Canis lupus familiaris: one gene and its partner. The protein of the gene in region 1 binds, or shares a complex with, the protein of each later gene. Links are inferred from orthologs where the notes say so. Each region holds a gene or a part of one and is shown on either strand. Other genes may lie near its edges.

Evidence for each region. Proteins that work in one complex are often made in the same cells at the same time.
Region 2: AHI1 (region 1) and B9D1 share a complex: the UniProt entries of both Homo sapiens proteins name them as parts of the tectonic-like complex. The link is inferred for Canis lupus familiaris from reciprocal best matches to the Homo sapiens genes AHI1 and B9D1.

The regions. Positions count from the first base shown.
Region 1 is NC_049222.1:28,421,185-28,427,167, reverse strand, and holds part of AHI1 (jouberin), read left to right. Parts: 5' UTR 1-93; intron 94-685; exon of another isoform or gene 686-688; 5' UTR 689-746; coding exon 747-756; intron 757-2,427; coding exon 2,428-2,552; intron 2,553-5,983. UniProt on the Homo sapiens protein: Involved in vesicle trafficking and required for ciliogenesis, formation of primary non-motile cilium, and recruitment of RAB8A to the basal body of primary cilium.
Region 2 is NC_049226.1:41,071,021-41,077,003, forward strand, and holds part of B9D1 (B9 domain-containing protein 1), read left to right. Parts: intron 1-1,914; coding exon 1,915-2,026; intron 2,027-5,983. UniProt on the Homo sapiens protein: Component of the tectonic-like complex, a complex localized at the transition zone of primary cilia and acting as a barrier that prevents diffusion of transmembrane proteins between the cilia and plasma membranes.

The sequences.
Region 1 (5,983 bases):
ACAATCTTCAGTTTTACTCTTAAAAATGTGTGAATATTGTGTTCTAATGTGGAAGTTAATATGTTTGTTTTGGATACGCACCCTCATCACTAAGTAAGATTAGAAATTAAAGAGTATATATCCTGAATTTATCCCTGGGTTTGGTATATAATAATACACACCCAGATATTTATTTGAGGAAGATGGTACAAATGCTTGTACTTTTAACCTTTTCTGTTGTTGCAAAACTTTTAATGGCAGGTACAAAAATGTTTAAATTTATTATCTGTGAGTATGCTACCTACAAGCATATTTTATTAATATAATAGCATATGTTCTTGGAAAAGTCAATTTTGGGGTGGAGTTTGTTTTCTTAAAAGTACATTGTAATGTATAATCTTTACTTAAAACACTTGTAAAACGGCATTAACATACCAAGTACATATTTATTGCCTTTCAAGGTTTTTAAAAAGTTTTTGTTTCAAATATGTAAATATCTTATTCAAATATGATCCAGGTTTCTTTACCTTTTTTCAGTTCTAAACTGATTCAAATACATTTAATTCATTTGCATAAGACTGGGTTAAGAGAACTTTATTGGTATAAACTTATGTAGTAGATGAATCATCACATAATCTTGTGTGAAGAATGTTATATAATTTTTATTTGTAAATTCCATGCTACAAATAAATTCTCTTTGTATTAGTAGGATCCTGATTGAGGCAGTGCTTTACATTACAATTCAATGCTCTCCATAAAGCTGAGATATGCCCACTGGTAAGACTTTTATGAAATTTATATATGCAATACATTTTATTTGTTTATTTATTTATTTTAAACTTTGAATTATTTCAAAGTTCTTTGACCTCTTCATGAATATATTAACCAAATATTACATTCAGATATTGTCAGTTTTCTATTTATTTTTTTTATCAATTTTCTATTAAATGTTAGATATTAGTATTAAGGTTAGTAGGTATTTAATGGATAGCAGTTTAGGACTCCACTGGATAAGGGAAATAATCATTACAACATATGGCTAGTTTGTATTCTTTATCATCAAAATGGATGTTTTACTCTAGAGCAGGTATCGGCAAACTTTCCTAAAAGGAAATCTAGTAAATATTTTAGTTTTATTCTCTGCCGTAACTGCTCATCTCTGCCATTGAAGCATGGAAACATCGATAAGAATTCTTAAGGGTGGATATGGCTGTATTTCAGTAAACTTTCATTATAAAAGAAGGTGACTGCCCTGCAGGCCGTATTTGCCAACACCAGCTCTGGGGCAATCACCCATTCATTCACCATTTATTGAGTAGGTACTCTGTGCTAGATCTCATGATAGTAGTAGGGATGATAGCTAGTACAGTGGGAGAGACAGAGACAATATATTTGTATAGATACACAAATAATTCTACAGTTTCAAGTTGGATTAGGTGCTGTAAAGAAAAAACTGCTGTCTGAGGCATGGGGAGATTTAGATGAGGTTGTGAGGAAATGTTCCACTTTAGAGGCAATATTTGAACAGGCAGCTTAACACCAGGTAGCTGAGAAGTTTAAAGGAAGTTTGCATCAAGTAGAAGCAGTTTCACATGGGAGGGTGCTTATTCTGGTGAAGGAGTGAGAAGGGCAGTATGGCCCGAATATAGGGATCTAAGGGGCTGTTTCTCTTGATTTCAAGCTGTGGAGGTAGGCAGGCCAGGAAGTGAGAACCCTGTAAGGCATATGAAGGACTCATTTAGTTCTAAGTGAAATGAGAAACTCACAAGGTCTTGAGCAAGGAAATAACATGATCTGACTTAAGTTTTAAAAGAAAAAATAACTTTTCAGCTTTTCTTATTTTTTAAATACTGATTATTGACTAGGTAATGTTAGCTATTCTTCACACAAATGATCTTTAACATAGGATTATTCTGATTTTACAGATAACGAAGATGAAGTTTAGAGTTAAGTAAATTGGGTAAGGCCACATAACAGTAGTAGATGCCTCCATACATCACAAGTAGAAAGTTAGTAATAGAAACTTTTAGAGAGAATGGCCCAGTAAGAGGGATACAGGTGAGTGTGGTGTCACCAAAACCAAAAGAAACATTTTTTAAGAAGGAAAGCCCGAGGGGATTCCTGGGTGGCTCAGCGGTTGAGTGTCTGCCTTTGGCTCAGGGCAAGATCCTGGCTGGGATCCTGGATGGAGTCCCACACTGGGCTCCTTGCAGGGAGCCTGCTTCTCCCTTTGCCCGCCGCCCCCCCCCCCCCCCCCCAGTGTCTCTCATGAATAAATAAATAAAATCTTTAAAAAAAAAATTTAAAAAGATGGAAGGATTGGTCAGTTCTAAGGTAGCTAAAGAACTCATGCAGGTATGTATAAGACTGTGTTCTTTAACATGATAATTATGCAGGTATATACTATAATAGAGTTGTTTAGCAAATGATGAGTCTTTATCTTTGCAGTGGAGAGTGAAGCCAAAGTAAAAACCAGAGTTCGCTTTGAAGAATTGCTTAAGACCCACCATGATCTCATTCAGGAAAGAAAAAAACTGAAGAAAAAAATCGGCAAATCTGGAGAAAAAATTGCAGTGAGTAGTTGATCATTTGATAATGATGACTTACATATCTGCATGAAATTATGACTTTTATATTAAACCTCTGAGGAACTTTGGAAATTGATAAATCTATCTCATGGTCGATAACACATGGTAAAATAAAGCTTATGTTAGAATCCACATGACTCTTAGGGCACTGAGTTCAGTTTTCAGTGGTGATCCTACAGGAATAACATATACAAACTGATGAGAGTGGTGAGAGAATGGGCAAACTCAACTAGGCCAACATGTTACTCATTTTTAAAGAAAATTAAGATTTTCAACCCAGAATTGTGATGAATTTAGGGAATAATATCTTAAGATATTCAGTGGCTTATCTTTATTTAGACTTACTCATCTGAGTCTACTCAGCAGAACCAGGAGAAATCAGTGAAATCTTAAGGCAATAATTATCCTTTTATACTTGAGACACACTTTCAAATGATAGACTTTTTGGCAGCACACTTGAAGATTTAAAAATGCAGAACTCAGAGCAGTACTAAACAAATCAGCAATTGACTACATCCTGATTCCAGAGTATTATAGAAAGTATGTAATGGTATCCACAATGTACTTTTCACACCTGTTTCACTGTATTACTTGAAACTTGTACTCCTTTGACCATAATCTGTTATACACACACACACACAACAGGCACAAATAATTTCATGCATGCTCTGGTAATTAGTGCATGGTATTTCTTTGGCAAGAGTTTTATGACTTATTTATAACTTATATTTTACTTGTAACAAATTTTACACTGTTCTGAATTTTGCCATGTGACCTCTTCTAATATTCTTCCTGGCAGCCATCAACATGATAGTACATATTCTAAGCGAGGCAAAAATAAGTACTAACATTGGCCAGAATCCAGCTGCACACACGTGAGAAGGTCACAGTACAGCTGTTTACTATGGCATACCAATTTAGAACTACAGACGGAATGGAGCAGATTAGGTTTCCCATAGTAGATGCTGCCCTTTTATAGAATGTGCTTCTTTTGGTGGTATCAGTGTGAGTATGGTGGCAGATGGTGGATGAAACATTGCATATTAGTTTCTGCCCTCCCTTTTGGTAAGGTGGTATACATTAGACAAAATCAGAAAGAACCCTGGAAACAGTTGAGGATATTTTTATGGACTCAAAGTAGAACCTCATATTTTCTCTTACTGTTAGCACTGGGCTTTGTGAGTTTAGGCCAGGAATGCTCAATTAAATGGATAACCAAAAACTGGGCAGGAGAGCCAGCCATTTACCTATTGTCCATTTTAGATGTTCAGAGTACACAAGTGTGAGGTGACTCGACATAATCTACCCAGACTTTTTAGGTACATAGCAGGCCATGCAAACTTTTTTTTTTTTTTTTAATTCAGGGATAAGTATCCTAGGAAAAATTATTGAGGAAGAGATTTTTCAGCTGAAAAGAAGGGAATGTTCCTGGAGGACTTGGAGAAACACAAAATATTTTTTAAATGATTTACTTTAAAAATTTGAGGAGGAATACCTGTTTTTATTTACTAGATAACAGTGCTTTCTATCTTTCAAGAATTTCTAAACATTGTATATACACTAATTTTTAATACAAACAACAAAATGATGAGGTTTTATCTCCATTTATAGTTGAGGAAACTGGATCACAAAGAGGTTGAATAACTTGCCTAAATTTGCATAGTTAGTGGCAGAACTAGAATTCAAACTCTTAACAGTTTGACTACAGAACTCACTCTCTTAACCACAACCCAGTAGGACCTCTTTGAATAACGTATGGAGAGATGGGACCTTTTCAGAACAAAAACACGTACAGACAGGCTGAGACTGGAAGAGAACCAGGCTGAAATAAGAAAAGGAAGCAAGGAAAAGGCTGTAATAACAGAACTCATAATAATGGCAGATCCACCTTATTGTTTTTCAGCAATCTGTTAGGCACTCTGATAAGAGTTTCCCAAGTGCTATTTCTGATTCTCATGTTAATCATGAAATGTAGGTTTTGGGGCTCTTATTTTGCATGAGAGGTTTTATAACCATCAGAACAGAAAAACCACTTAACAAAGATGTAGGTTTGCCAGAGCCATATAACCAGAAATAGAGTGGGATTTAAAACCACAGTCTCTCCATATTCTGCCTTTAGTTGCTTTTTAAAAACTATATCTTAGGCCTAAAATAGTAGAATTGGTTCCATGGAAAAATCTAATTAGTGGTAAGGAAGATAAATTTGAGGCATTCTTCATGAGAAAAAATGGCTAAAAATTAAACTGAAATAAGTAATGAGGACATATAGAAAGAAATACTTGACCTACATTTCCATATGGTGTTAATGGAGCAGAAACAGTAGAAGGAGCATGATTAGGATGTAGGAAGAGATGAGTCTATCTTGCATTTTAGGTAAAATTTATGAGATGAAAACTATATTTAGAATTTTTTAATTTCAAGAGAAAAATTAATTTTGCAAGTATCTCAACAGAAAAAGAAACACCTGGTACATTTCTGGCTTCTCTTAGGAAACCCTAAATCTAGATAAAGCAATATCTACATAATATTGAGGGAAAAAATTGTGTCACAAGAAATCTGGCCACCTAAGTGTCATTTGTTTGTGAGGTCAGTAGTGAACATGGAAATTAACAGAGAATTACTACAGGAGTTAAGAATACGATTGAAGGTGTATTATTTGAATATGTAGTATCATTTCCAGAAAGAGGAATCAAAATTAAGAATTTAAGAATAGAGAAATTATGATCTGAAAATACATTTGCAGAGTCTTTTGAGACCAGTTAAACATATAGAACTTTCTTTATTATTTTTGCCAAAAATAATTACTGAAGATTTATATTAGATAATGTACATATGATAATGTGAAATAACAGAAACATTGTTCTCAAACGTTGAGCAAAGGTTTCCTAGCTTGCAGAGAAAGTCCTATAACTAGTACTTTTACCTAAAGTGTAGTCAGAAGTTACTTCATCTTGGAGTTTAAAATAAGTGAAACAAATAATATGTAAAATAGATTATTATATTATTATTATGTTATTATACTATTATAATAATAGATATCATAATATAATAGATATTATATTATCAAAGTCATCAGAGGTCAAGAAAAAATAACAGATTTTTTTTAAAGAAACAAAAATAACGAAAGAAGAAATTTAAGAATAAACTCTTAGTGTTCCCTGGGTGGTTCACTCAGTTGAGTGTCCCAACTTTTGGCTTTGGCTCAGGTCATGATCTCAGGATCATGAGATGAGCCCCAGGTCAAACTCTGAGTCAGGCTCTCTGTTGGGTATGGAGCCTGGTTAAGATTCTCTCTCCCCTTCTGCCTGCCATCACCCCCCAACCCCCACACGCACACACATTCTCTCTCTCTCTTAAAAAAAAAAAAAGTAATTAAAAAAAATATTTTGGGGCACCTGAGTGCCTCAGTCAGTTAA
Region 2 (5,983 bases), on another chromosome or scaffold:
GCTGGAGCAGAGAAGGTGGAGCAGCCACCTTCAGGCTCCTGATCAAAGCTGCGGTCGCTCACACACCCTGTCCTGGGAACTTGCACTTGGCAGCAAAGAGGAACGTGTGGGCGGCACAGACCCCTGAGGGCCAGCCTGGAAGTATCTGGGCGGTAGGTCCTCTGTCCCTCTCCTAGCCCATGAGGAGGACTCTGGGAAGTCAAGAGGCCGAATAGAAGCTCTGCTTGCAAGACCGGCCTCAGAGCAATCTGTCTCCACAGACAGCCAGGCCAGAGTCCCAGTTTCGTGGGGCGAGGTAGACAATAAGTACTGATGTTCTAATATGTTCTAGGAAAAAGTGCCGGGGACAGAGTAAAGTCAGGAAGGGAGGAATGGAGGGTAGAGAGAAGCTGGAGTCTAGGTAAGGTGGCCAGGGAAGGCCTCCCTGAGATGGTAACTTTGGGTAAAGGGTGAAGGCAGGAAGGGAACAAGCCACACGGAGGTCCGTAGGGAGAACTGTGCAGGCAGAAAGGGCAGAGGTAAAAAACAACAACAACAACAACAACAAGAAAGGGCAGAGGTGCACAGGCCCTGAGGTGGGAACGTGCCTGGCGTGCCCAGCATGCCCAAGGCACAGGGAGGAGGCCTGTGTAGCCAGTGAAGAGCATGAGCAGGGATGAGAGTGGCTGGAGATGGAGCAGGGGGGTTGAGGATGGGACAGGCCTTGTAGGACACAGTGAGTCAGTAAAAGAACCACGGCCTCACTCAGACATGGGACCCCCTCAGAGAGTCTGGGACAGAGACAAAGTGACCCCCCTTGTGTGTTCCATAGCATCCTGGCTTCTGTGTTCAGAGTAGATGGGAAGCAAGGGCCAAAGCAGAGAGACCAAGGATTGATACCAGAAACAGAGGAGTGAAGACAGTGTGCAGACAAGGCGCAGCCATGGGTGGGGTGGGGGTGACAGGCAGTTGAATTTCCAGTATATTTTGAAGATGGAAACAACAGGGTTCCCTCCTGGACAGATGTGGGGTGTGAGAGAAAAGAGTTCAGAATAACACCAAGCTTTTTAGCCTGGGCACTTGGGATCGGAGCTGCCATTCGGTGAGAAGACTGGGTAGAGCAGTTATGGGAGAACTTTCCAGAGCTCAGCCTGGCATGTGTTGAGGTTGAGGTTTCCCCCCAGATACCCGGGGGGAGGTGCAGGGTCAGCAGTGGAGGTGGGGCCATGCTGCCCTGGAGGCCCGAGATGGGGACCAGACTGGGGATGCAGGTTTGGGAATCAGCCCCACGACGCTTCCACATGAAGGAGGAAGTGGTGACAGCAACATTGAGAGCCCCCACCCTCACCGCTGTGAGGAGGAAAGACCCAAAGTCAGACATATGGTGTCCCAGAATCCACCCAGGGGGAGTGCGTCAGAAAGCCACCAGCTGTGTCCAGTGCTGCTGTAGAGTCAGGTAAACTGAGGACAGAGAACTGTCCACAGAGAGAGCAACGTTGGGGTCACTGGTGCTGCTGGAGCCAGTGAGTATGGACGGCTTGATCAAGGAGTTTGCTCAGCAGGGGAGCTCCAACTGGGTTGGCGGGTGGAGGAAGAAGCCAAGTTGGCACAGTTTCTTGATAGAATCATAGGCACACAGGCTCCGATGTGAAGGGCTGGGGCTGGAAGAGGGAACAACCTGCCAGGGCCAGTTCCTCAGCTGAGGGGACGCCCAGTGAACTCGCGCCCAGGCAGCTCTCCAGGTTGTCTGGCTCCAAATAAAAGCTGGAGACACCTAGGAGCTGCTCCATTAGCTCTGAGTCCCCGTCATGCGGAAGACAGTGTGTTGCCAGAAGACAGGGAGAAAACCAGCCCTCCCACCTGGCCACCAAGGTAAGGGCAGGGGTGTGGCAGCTGGAGCGTCAGCAGCAGATGTCACAGTCACTGTCCTCACAGGGTCTGGAGGAGGGCATCTCACAGATCACATCCAAGAGCCAAGATGTGCGGCGAGCGCTGGTGTGGAACTTCCCCATCGATGTCACCTTTAAAAGCACCAACCCTTATGGCTGTGAGTCTGCAGGGCCTGCCCCCACCTCCCCCACCACCCCAGCAGGGACCGGGTCGGGGAGGTGCCCCCAGGGCCAGCTGGGCCTTATCCTGCCGCCACTGTCCGCTCTCAGCTCTTCTCTGCCCAATTCCTGGGCCCTTGTGTACCAGCATCATCATGTGCTCTCTTGCCACCTGGCCATTTCCTTCCATGTGTCCCCCCCCCACCCCAGCTCATGGACTGGTGGTGGAGCTGACCTTTAGGAAGCTCAGGGGGTGTCAGGTGAGGCTCCAGCCTCTGTGCTGGGGGAAGGCAGAGCCTGGGTTTGGGATGTTGTAGTCCAGCCGGCAGGCCTGACCCTGGTGGCCCTCAACCTGCCATTACGTGTTGTGCTCCAGCCAAACCAAAGCCACGTGCACCTCCTGTGCACACCCCTGAGCCGCCTCTCTGAGCTTTGGTTTGTGCTGTTCCCTCTGCCATCTCTGACCTCCTCCCCAGAACCCTCCTTGCTTGCAGTGTTTACTGTGTGTCTTGCCTGGTAGTTATTCACTCTTACTTAATAAGCGCCTACTGCATGTAAAGGCCTGGGTTAGCTCCAGAGGGGCTGTGAATACTCACCCCATGTGCTCTTATCCTAGCTTCCTAATCCTATGTGGTGGATAGATTGCTCTTGGTTTCTTTTTCCACATCAGGAAACTGATGCAAAAAAAGTGACATCACTTGCCTTTGGCCATCTATCTAGTAGCTGAGCATGGATTGGATTTCAGGTCCATCTGATTTCATAGTCTGGACCTTTCTGCGGCATGTAGTTTGGGGCCTAGGCTTACTGGGCGTGGGGGGTCTGGAACGGGCTGCCTGGAGGTCCTCCTGGGCTGAGACTGCCATCTTGTCATTATCCACAAGTCAGAATGCTTCCGTAGGTTTCCTGGAGCAGGACTAGATTATGGCCCAGTCTCCTGCTGCTGAGGAAGCCTAGGAGAGGCGAATATAGTATTAAAAAGTAAAAACACAGGCACCTGGATGGCTCAGTCAGTTAAGCATTTGCCTCCAGCTCAGGTCACGATCTCAGGATTCTGGGATTGAGCCCCACATTGGGCTCTCTGCTCAGCGGTGAGTCTGTTGCTTCCTCCTCCCCACCCTCTGTGATCTCTCTGGCTCTCACTCTTTCTCAAATAAATAAATAAAATATTCAAAAATAAAAAGTGAAAACAAACACAACTATTTGAAGGCATCAGAGAGCCAGCAAAGTATTGGAGATTTACCCAGCCAAGATCTAGGAGAAAACAGAAATCTAGAGATGTGATCTCACTCACATTGCCCCTTGGAGAATTAGCTGACTCCACCAGAGGTGATCCAGAGGTTGATCGAGGCTTTTGACAGCTGCTCTGGGCTCGAGGCACAAGAATCAGGAAAATGGTTCAAGACCTCGAAGTGCTTGCTGCACCCTGGGAGGAAGGGAGAAGTGGGAGCAGCCCAGCTCTGGATCATTCCAGACCTTGGAACATGGTTGCAAAACCCCCCAAACTAAATAATCATAAGCCACATCTAGCAGGGTGTAAAAGGGATGGAACAAGAATGGTTTATTCCAGAGGTACAAAGCTTATATAATATCTGAAATCAACCAACGTGATTCAGTGCTTTAAAAGAAGGCAAGTCATAATCATCCCCATAATGAAGCAACCATGATAAAACTCAACATCTATCCATGATAAACACTTAGAAAACTAGGAATAGAGGAAACTTTTTTATTTTTTAACTCAGGGCCTTATCTCATGACCCCAAGATCAAGACCTAAGCTGAGATTAAGAGTTGGACCCCAACCAACTGAGCCACCCAAGCACTCGTAGAAAGAGACTTTCTTAATTGGATAAAGACTGTCTACAAAAAACTTAGAGCAAACATCACCTTTTCTAAGTGAAATGGTGAAAGATTTCCTTGTTGCCACCACCACAAACAAAAGCATAGGAATTAGGAAGAATAAAACTGTTGCTTTTCATAGGTGGCATTATGTGTGTCGAATTTGCAGAATAACCTACAGATAAGTTACTAGAAATAATAAATTGGCATGAATGCCCGATATGAAATAGTAAAAAACCAGTGGCTTTTTGTATAAAAATGAATAGGATATGTATTCTCTTGTCCATAAAAAGTGATTCAAAATGGTATTTTATTTTTAAGATTTCATTTATTTGAGAGAGAGCACGAGTAGGGTGAGGGGCAGAGGGAGAAGCAGGCTCCCTGCTGAGCAGGGACTGCCCCCAGGTGCCCCTAAAAGTGATATTTTAAAAAGAAATTCTTCACAATAATATCAAAATGTAACATGTACTACATATTGAACTTCAGATGAGTTATAAAGCAGAATAACGAAGACAATGTAGTTTAGGCCCAAGGATAGGCAAATGATCCAAAGAGAGCTCTGAGCCAGACCTAAGCCTGTGTAGACAGGTGATTCCTGAGAAAGGGCACTGGGAGGCATGAAGGGAAAGCGGATCCTGTTGATAAACGGTGCTGGGACCACGGGATATGCACAGGACGTGAAACCCTGTGCCCTGCTTTGTACCATACATCCACCAAAGTCAGTTCCAGGTGGATGGCAGGAAAACTTTAGGAAGAGAGCATAGAACACTAGAGCCATGATATCAAGTAAGGGATGACTTTTTTTTTTTTTTTTTGTTGAGAGAGCAGAAGAGCAGAGGGAGAGGGACAAGCAGAGTCAGTGCTAAGTGCAGAGCCAGATATGGGGCTCAATCCCAGGACCCTGAGATCATGACCTGAGCCAAAGGCAGACACTTAACTGACTGAGCCCACCCAGGCGCCCCCTGAGCCCTTTGGGAGACAGCTCCATGTTCTGTTTTCAGACCGAATGTATGCATACCCTGTGTGGATAGGCATGCCCAGCAGAAACGTGCACACATGGGGCAAGAGCTTCAGCAGAGTGGCAGAGAGCTCATAGTCTCACCATCCGGGGGCCCCCCAAGGAGAAACTACCCACATGTCCATCGGCACAGGAGTGAACCATGTCCTCGTGGTCTGTCCATAGCTAGCATGTTCTCTAGCACTGAAAAAAAAGTGACATCTCATACACAACACAATTCGAATGAATCTCCCAAACATTGAACTAAAGAAGCTGGATACCAGTACACAGACTGTATGATTCCATCTGTATAAAGTTTTTTTTTTTTTTTCAATAGGTAAAACCAGAGCACCTAGGTGGCTCATTAGCTTAAGTGTCTGCTGTCATGATCTCAGGGTCCTGAGACCAAGCCCCGCATTGGGCTCCACAATCAGTGTGGGGTCTGCTTGGGATTCTCTCCCTCTGCCCTTCCCCCTGCTAGCTCACTTGCTCTTTCTCACTCTCAAAATTAAATACATAAAATCTTTCCTTTAAAAAGGATAAAACCAAATCTGTGTTTGGGATGCATTCTTTGGCAGGGAAGCGTTAAAAGCAGTGCTTTCATCAAGTCAAAACAGTGGCTGCCTCTGGGGGAGGGGGAGTGATGGGAAGGACACACACCTGTTGTCCCTGACACTTGCTGAGCACCCCCTCTGCAGCAGTCGCTAATCTCCAAGTCTTAGGGGGGAGGGAACCAGGAGGCTAGGAGGGGAGGGGATTGCCTGAGGCATGTCCTAGACCGCAGGGTCAGCCTGGCAGGATGGCTTCCTGGGCCTCCCCCGCCTCACCTGTCACCTGGGAAGTGGTTTCTCCCCTATGCTCAGAGGACTGACCCAGAGGAAAGGACCTGATGTACCTCAGTGTTTACAGGGAACGCGTGTGATTGGTGTGATAACTTAAGGGAAAGTGCATGGGAGGTCTGTTTTCCCCTCTGACCTCTCCCACAGAACCCCGAAGTCAGCCGCTCTGGCCCACAAGCCCATGCAGTAGGCGCTGGAAACTGACCCCCTCCCCACCCCATCAGAAAGGAGGCTCCCAAGAGGTGGCCCTTTGCTCACTTCCCAGCTGGGTCCCTGTGCCTTGAA